2 linked regions of the Drosophila melanogaster genome follow. The protein of the gene in region 1 interacts with the protein of each later gene in a pairwise test. Each region holds a gene or a part of one and is shown on either strand. Other genes may lie near its edges.

Region 1 (3,984 bases):
GCAGGCGAACATGGGATTATCGAAGCCCACATCCACGCCGACCATGTGGTATGTCAGTGTATTCGATTTGTGGGCCTCCAGGGGCGATGAGATCGTGAGGCGAGCCTGCGTGTCCCGGTTCATGATGTAGGCCAGCTTTTGCTTCTCCACGGCGCCAATCATCACGGCTCTTCCTTTAGGATCGATGGCAAAGTATTGCCCAGGCACAATCCTGCGACATCCCGACTTTCCGAACGTCTCCTGGTGCACTTTTTCAAGAGCATTCTTGGAGGGATTGTACTCGAGGATCACGATGCGTCCCGAGTCCGAGCCCACAACTATGTAATCTGCAAAGCAAGGTAACGATATTCGAGATTAGGGTCATACATTTAACACTTTCTAATGACTATAATGATATTTTATTGACTTTGTAACTCGAAGTTTCAATTCGCCACTCCGTTGAGTTGGTTTATGGCAAATGCGACGTCAAGTCTTTCGGTTTCTCTCGCACTTAGACGCGTTCAAAGGTCTTACTGGGGTCAACTAGCCGTCTGTTGCCTCAATAGGGATTTGTGCGACTTACATAGATTATATAGGAGCAATACATTACTCCCAATTGATGGTACAAAACTAAATTACAATTGAAAGACTCACCTTTAGTGCCGCCCGTCAGTCGAAAGGCCATCAGGGCGCGAACGCATCCGAATATCTCCGTGGAGAGCAGGGTGTGCACCTTGCCGGTGTTGGAGTCCGGACGCAGTAGCTCCAGCGACTTGCCACGCGACAGGAGGACCTCCTGCTGCTTGCCGCCGGAGAAGTTGCCGTGGACCGCGTGGGTCACGCCGGTGGCCTTCTGCAGGGTCAGGTTGTACAGATACATGGTGGAGCACTACACTCTTTCACTTTTGTCCACGACTGCAAGAGAAGCAATGTTGAGGTTAGGTACAGTTGCAGACAAGGGAAAAAGTCACGTGAATGGCGGTGTATTTTTTTTTTTGTGAATTTGTACTACTTTGAAAACCATGGCCACAGTATGGAAAGTCGTGTCGCCTAACGATGCTAGTAAGCAGCATTTAATTCTTAGTTTAGCACGCTTCAAATGCGACCAAAGCACAGACATTTCTGATTTCTGGAGATACTTCGTGCGGAAAGCGCTTAAATAATAGTAGATATCAGTGCTAGCACGTGTATTTGTTTACCTTCGGCTGGTTAAATGGATGAATTAGCACATTTCACCAGCGATGCCTTTGGATTCGAATTTTCCTGATTACTCAGAACTCTTCATTTTCACATCTGCTCTGTTCGCCGACAAAAAGTAAAAGAACTATAAAAGTAAAAATGGTGGTGCATAAAATGTGGCTTGACTTATCGATAGTGCGCGGCCGTCGATTTTCCTATCGATAATAGGCCCGGTTCAGACTGATTATAAATTAAATAATTATTTTACTGGAAATTGTTGCTGCAGAAATCATAAGTTTCCTAAAAATCCTGGTCAAGATATATCGAATTTATCCTTTATTAAATATACCACATTTAAATATTCGGAAATTGCCATGGGCCAATCCCAGTTCCACATACCAAAAACTGCCTCAAAAGCTAAACATATAATATGCAATTTTCTGTGAAAAAATGGAAAATTTCAAGGATCTGTAAAAATATGTACTGGATCAATCGTTTTATCTTTCTTTAACTTAAAAAATTTTTATCATGGGCTTAAATGAAAACAAAACCACTCACCGAATTGTGGCTAAAGGGCTGGGCTCAATACTATGCTATTAAGGTATGATTAAGGAGAAAACTTTAAAGGTATTTAAAAAAAATAAATAGATCAGTCCCCAACTATTTTTTTCTGTTTATTCGATCTCTACTTGAGTATATTTTTACGCGGCGTTGGCTCATGTTATTAGACTAATTAGAAAAATCATCAATTATTACTTAGTAAACTAGGTTTGTTGACTATCGATATACCAACTTCAGATTCGCGACATCTCTAATCAGTCATGGAATTGTCAGTGTTGTAAAACCTGAAATGTCATTGCATCTTTGCTTCTTCAAAACAGCTGACAGCTAAAAACAAATATTTCGTGATTTTTGTAAATATTGCTAACGTTTTAATATGGAGGAGCAAGAGGATCGAGAAAAGCTCTACGAAGAAGCCCACAAGAAAGTAAAACTGGGCGAGGAGCTGAAGAAAGCGCTGAAAGACTTCGAAGATTTGCCTGGTGTCAGCAAAGTACAGCGAAAAATTCAGCAAGAGCTCAAATTTCTAAATAAGGTTTGTTTGCCTATTTTTCATGATAAAAACATTGAGTAAAAGCATTTTCCTTCAAGGTGATTACTACAAGGTCCGTAAAGGAACACCACATAACCAGCAGTAACTTTGTTTACTACGATTTTCTCATTAAAACTCTGCGTTTGCAACAAGGAGTAGTCGACATCAATGCCGTATTCCGCCTGGAGTCTAGGGATAGTCCCCTGAGAGTCGACATCGTGGCCAACAATGGACTCAAGTGGGTGAAGGTGATAGCCAGGAACTCGAAGTCCGTCGAGGACGCGGCCAGGGGATGTGTCAGCATCGGAGCCCGAAGTGTCATCGACCAGGCGGAGGATTATCTGGAGGCCAGCGAACTTAGTTTCTGCATGTTCCAGAGGCCGAAGGTAATGCCTAATAGTATGCTACCCTAGACAGCATTCATCATCTGATATACTGCCTTTTAGATAGTATTCTACTTCTCCAACAAAATCGAGGACTCCCTGCATGAAGAGCTAATGGAAATGGGCGTACAAACTGCTTCCCTGGACTCACCAGACACCGACTTGGATATGTACGCCACGACGTCGAACGAACTGAATCTAGATGTGACCACATTGCTGGCCTACGTTAGTGCGCTCACCAACGGATCCGCCAATTGGGTCTACAAGGAACCTCTGCTCACCGAACAGGCGGAAAGGGAAAGAGCCTCGCCGCTAAAACCGCTCCTCGAGAAAATCCTAGAGGGAAAAACCTTGGTCTGCTGCCAGTTAGCCTACGATGCCTTCCAGAGTATTTTGGATATTGTAGGCGGCGAGGGCGAACGGAAGCGAGCCGAGGAACTGATGAAACGGGTCACCGTTTATCCGGATGTGGAAACAATACCCGAAGAATTCTCCCACATACGTTTCACTGCCAACGTAAACGAGCGAAGTCTGAAAATCTTTAGTTTCGGCATGGCCAGGCAAATTTTCACTGTGACTTCGAATAAGGCCTTTGTGAGATCAGCTAAGATGCAGGTATGCATGAATGGAAAATGTGATTTTGTCCTGTCTTTAATGTCTGTGCTTTACAGGGTATCAATGTGCCTGTTTTTGTACACGCTTCAGTTGCACTTACCGAAGGTAAGCAGGCAACAGGAAGACCGCTTTAAAAACCAATAAGCGTTAAGGCTATTCAAATAAATTTTATGTGATTTTTTTTCAAAAACTGCTCTACACAAAGTTGTTATAATTATTAAATAAAGATCCTTCAAATTTGAATTCGATTGGTTTTTAAAAATTCGAAACGATACATACGACTCTTATCGATTGTTGTCATGACAGAGCTGCCACACCTCGCGCATAAAACATATGTAAACAAAAGTGAAATTTTGGAAACTGCGTTCTTGCAAAAAAATAGACGACATTTTGCTTGCATAAAACAGGCAATATTGCAATTGGGAATATAATTATTAAAATTTAGGTGCCTGGCAATTTCAACGTTACAAGAGCAATCATATAATTTCAAATCAGGACGGGAAAACAGTCAAAAACATGGACTGCGCACCACTGAACTTGGTAAGAACCCGAAGAAAACATCGAATTTACATGGTTTTAAATGGAATTACCTACCCAAATCAAAGGCTCATTTCCACGAGCGAAGGTCGGAGCGATTTATACGCAATCACCGCTATGAGGAGGCCATTAAAGCGCTGGAAACATCCCTAATCTACATGCAGGATGCCCAAAAACGGGTGGCTCTGCCCAAATCCA
Region 2 (4,884 bases), on another chromosome or scaffold:
AATAATATCATAATGCAATGGTATATGCGATGGTTTACTATTCGATACGAAAAATGTATGCTTAATTGTGAGTTAGTCTCGCAGCTCTATAGCTTATGAGATTTCAAAAAATACATTTCTGGTTTTAAGTTATATTCTGGGAATTGTTTGTGGTATATGTATGTGTGTATGTATGCATGTATGTATATATATAATGGATAGCTGCTGGATATTCCTTTTATTCGGAGGGGGTGAGATCGTTTTCAGGTTCGTTTTCGTTGAGAATTTGAGAAAGCAGATCGTAGAGTGGTTCTAATATCTTTTTCGCTCCAGCATTGGTTAGATTTTTATAGTCGAACATATCGTGATGACTGATACTGCCGTCGGTCTGGACCAAACCCTTGTCAATGGCCACCGTCTGGACGCGATACAAGCCCTTGGTCAATCCATTGACCACCTCGTTGATTTTGGCATTCTTTTCGCGCAACTTATTGGGCTGCTGGCCACGCGGCAGTAGCGACTGCAAGGGAGAGATGGGAATGTCGATGATTTACTGCGGCTGGCTAATACCACAACTATTGTACTTACGGGCAAAACGATATAGGCGTTGGGCAGCTTTTGCCGGATTTTCGTTACGTTCGCGAGCACACCCTCGGCCACTTCCTCCGCGCTGTTCCGCACATTATTGGTGCCCACATGGAGGACGACGATTTTGGGATTCACATTGTCCAGCGCACCGTTTTCGATGCGCCACAGTACGTGCTCGGTGCAGTCGTCGCGAATGCTGAAGTTAAGGCAGTGCAGCGGCGCAAAGTACTTATTCCAGGCCTCCGTGTCCTGGACGGTCTCGAAGATGCAGTCGCCGAGGAATATCACATCCGGATCCTTTTCGCGGCAATCGGAGATGAACCGGCGATGTATGCTGTGCCAACGCTTGTCGCCATCCAGATCGGGCAATGGGGTGGGCAGCACACAGGGATTCATTTCGTCGGCGTGCTCAGACTCAGTTGCAGACCAATATTGAGTTTTAGTTAAAGATTCCGATTCCTATTCCTATTTCGATTTCGATTCAGTTGCAGTTTCAGCATGCGGATGAATGAGGCATCGTCTGCGGCTTAGTCTTACCGGATACTTGGGCGTTCTGCTCGGCTTGCAGTGACAGCGTTGCAGTCGTGGACAAACAATTGAACTGATAGTCGCTAGCATAAACAACTCCGTACCGTTGTTTACTTTAATAAATCGTTTTTATGGCGAAGATTTTTTTTTTGTTTTTTTTTTTTTGTGTTTTAGGTTACCTCAACATTAACATCCGTAAATGTCGTAGAATTATGTGGCCACCCTCGTGTACATGGAAATTGCCAAGGATTTAAGGTTGAAAATTTTTATAAGTTTATTTTAATTTGGTGTAGAAAATCTACGATTTTCTTGGTAAGCGTTTATGTTTTCGTTTTTAGAGAGATGGTAGATGTCTTGGTATTTTTCCAGGGCTGGAAAGTGTTGTCTAGCAATGTTGCACTTGGCACAGCTGAAAAAGATGTGGGATACGTTATCGAAAACGTTACACGGTCACATATGTTACTGTTTGTAACGTGCATTTTATTCAAAATTGTCAAAAGCGTTATCGCAGAGAAGTCTGTTAATTATTTTGATCTCTGTTGATTTAAGTTTACAATTGTGATTTTTAAGGCATGTGCCTTTAAGCCATATGCCATTATTTCAAGGGGAAAATATACCAAATGAAACAAGACTATTTTTTAGCTTTTTCTAGACAGCTTAAAAAATATTACGATGATTTATAACTGATTTCAGAAATAAAAAGATTTGAAACATAAGCAAGTTAAATTTTGTACCCCTACACGTTAAATAGTAAAGGACTATGATTCATTATGAATTATTATTGAACTGCATAAATAGAAATTATACCATTACTTTCACTGGCATCGCAAAACTTTCCGTCGCTACCTTGGCGCAACCTATTCTGAATCCAGCGTGCGGTCACACTGCAGCAATGACATAACCTAGTTATTGTCAAAAAACTGAAGTCAATTCTATTCCTTCGAAAACATAAATCGTAACTTGCGTTAGGTTCGACGGCATGTTGAAGCTTAACCGTGTTCGCCATCTGCGAACGACGTACAAGCGCTGTTTGTCCGGCCAGTCGCAGCTGCAGCTGAATAGTACGGACGCAGAGCCGGCATATCCGGAGATTCAGGATCTGTCCTTCAAGGCGCGCAAGCAGAAGGATGCGGCCAACTGGCACGAGGAAATCCGGCAGGTGCCGACGGTGGAGGAGAAGATGATCAAGATCAATATGCCCCGCTATTACGGCTTCAAGGTGGTCGACTTCAACGACTCGAAAATCCCCTACAATGCACTGCCGCTCACGCAACATTATACGCGCACAGTGCTCGAGGATTTGCCATCTGAAACGGATAAGAAGGCACAGGCTAAGGACTCCGAGCAGGAGCAGGAGCAGCCGAGCGTGGATGGTCTTTTCAAGGCGGCTCGCGGGGATGTTATTGATGCCCTCGAGTTTGCCCACGACTACTACAAGTGGGTACAACGAGGTCCGCTTTCAACGAACCAAGTTCTCCGGCGAGTTTGTGGACAGTAGTTGGTCCAACTCACTTAAGAACTCGGATTGGTTGGAGTGGTCCCAGTTACAAGTTCGACCGTCTGATATTAATGTATTCATTCTCCTCCATTACCAAGCGTAGGCATCTGGAAAAGCAACACAACTCTGCCGAATCGAACCCCGTTGAACGTGAGCGCATCCTAACGCAGATCATTGTAGAACAGCTGAACAGAGCTCTGCTGCAGTCGCTCAGCGAGGAGTACAAGCACCTGGATGAGCTCGATGTCGACTACAATCCACGCCACGAAGCGTTCTGGGCCGTTGGCGGCGTAGATCCTCCCAAGAACGTGCAGAAATCGAAGAAGGGCCGGGAATGGCAAAAGGATATGGCAAACGAGAGCGTTGATCGGATGGTTCAGTATACGGGAGCGCCGTATCTTGCCCTACGCCATCGCAAGCAATTGACGCCGTGGAAAACGGAAGCGGAAAGCGAAAACCTCGAGCTGAGCAAACAGCTGCCCCGTTTCAAGCACGACCCGCGAACCCTCGGCTACAGCACCAAGCATCAGCACGCCACCAATGTGCCAGGCTATTGGCCCAAAGGAAATGAGAATAACTTCGGCCTGCTCTCATTTCAATCGCGTGCACACCTGCAGATCCGTCCGAAATCGTTCGGCGAGCAGGATCAGCTGGAGGCATTGCATTCGCTGGCGATTAAATCGTCATACGCCTGGCTTTTGGCCCAGGCGAACTACAATGGCTTCAACACCTACAACGAACTGACCTATCCCATGAACACTCAAACTGTGATCACGAACGGCAGGGAATGGAGCTTTTATGAGTATCAGCTTAATACGCTGCTGCTGCACGGCACAAACGTGGCGGAAAATCCCCGTGTCAACTTCTGTCGCGGTACAAAGCCACTTCCACTGTACGCCGAGATTTCGGCAAGCGGCAAGTGCGTTGATTTCAACGATAACGCACTGCGGCACCTGCTCAATTTCTATGCCAATGCGCCATCGATTCAGCGGAGCATTGGGGAGCAGCAGCCGTATGTTGCCTCCGACGTTTCCGCCTATGAGAACGCCGAACAGCGTGACTTTATCAATAAGACCTTCAAATATTTGGCATCAAACCGACCGCGACACTTGGAGCTGCCCGAAATCTACCTGTGGGAGAAGCTATACAAGATCGATAACAACAATCGTGCCATGGAGGCTAAGAGACGCTTCTTCGAGCTGGACATCAATCCTTGGCAGCGAACGCTGGACACACATGACAAGGAGTATGTTCCACGTGCGGTCCGACCAGACGTCCCTAAGAATAAGAACAGGTTCAAGAAGACGTACTACCCTTAAATGAATAAATATAAAACACTTCCTAAGGTTACACTTGTTAAAAATGCTGAATTTTTAATGTGAAATACTGGATTGCAGATTCGGAGCAACGAAACGGTGTACAAAGTTTCTTTAAACTTTGATTAACTCAATTTTCCGCAAACTTTTGTCAGTATGTTAATGATTTTTAATATAAATATTTTGTTAAATTTCAATTTAAATTCTATGCCATACAAAGTATATATATTTATTAACTTTGTTATGCTTGTGGTTAAACACTTCTGTAAATTTATAAGCTAGTCTTTTTTATCTTAAATTCTTTCAAATAGATATGATTATACAAATACCTGGAATTTTGCCAATTATTAGTGCTGATGATGCTAAAACTTGCCAATGCAATGCTTCTTATCATTATTTAATTGTTTATGCAGCACATATTTATTCTAGATTCCATTGTTTATTTCATTTATCAGCACTGCAAACATACCGAAGTTATCTCAAAAAGTGGGTAAAATGCGGTTACACTGCACCAGAACCATATTTTTCGAACGTAAAAAAGGTTTATAATGCTATAGTGTAGTTTAAATCTTTTTACCAAATCATATATTGTTTGAACATAATAGTGCACTAAGGTTTATATGATATTCCATATAAGTACACTTCAAACTCTTACTTAGTCTGGTAATATGTATGCATTAATTAATTACTTGATTATTTTATTATCCCATTTATTATAGTAGTTTTACATTTACGATAATAGCTTTATAGTCCACTACATCAAAGTTAGGATTGCTGAAAAAGTTACCACTTGTTGGTTATTTCGGTAACGTCCCAGCTAACCGTATGGTATGTTATAACGGCCGTGCGACGGTCACACTGGATCTGAATAGTTAGGCTCGAGTAAATAACCAGTTTGAGACTTTACGGTGGTTCGGAAACTCGTATCTGGCGCTTCGGTTGTCCAAAAAGGTAGAGCAGTAACCTGTTGCATAT

The links.
Region 2: the proteins of CG42553 (region 1) and mRpS30 interact in a two-hybrid assay, tested with the Drosophila melanogaster proteins (one large-scale study listed by BioGRID).

Annotation. Positions count from the first base shown.
Region 1 is NT_037436.4:832,082-836,065, forward strand, and holds CG42553 (uncharacterized protein), read left to right. Parts: upstream 1-2,011; 5' UTR 2,012-2,095; coding exon 2,096-2,254; intron 2,255-2,310; coding exon 2,311-2,637; intron 2,638-2,697; coding exon 2,698-3,249; intron 3,250-3,305; coding exon 3,306-3,383; 3' UTR 3,384-3,434; downstream 3,435-3,984. Other genes in the region: Sf3b3 (splicing factor 3b subunit 3), read right to left, coding at 1-326, 634-859; CG42554 (uncharacterized protein), read left to right, coding at 3,766-3,789, 3,855-3,984.
Region 2 is NC_004354.4:15,784,098-15,788,981, forward strand, and holds mRpS30 (mitochondrial ribosomal protein S30), read left to right. Parts: upstream 1-1,949; 5' UTR 1,950-2,074; coding exon 2,075-2,532; intron 2,533-2,696; coding exon 2,697-3,912; 3' UTR 3,913-4,191; downstream 4,192-4,884. Other genes in the region: Paf-AHalpha (Platelet-activating factor acetylhydrolase alpha), read right to left, coding at 218-499, 568-963.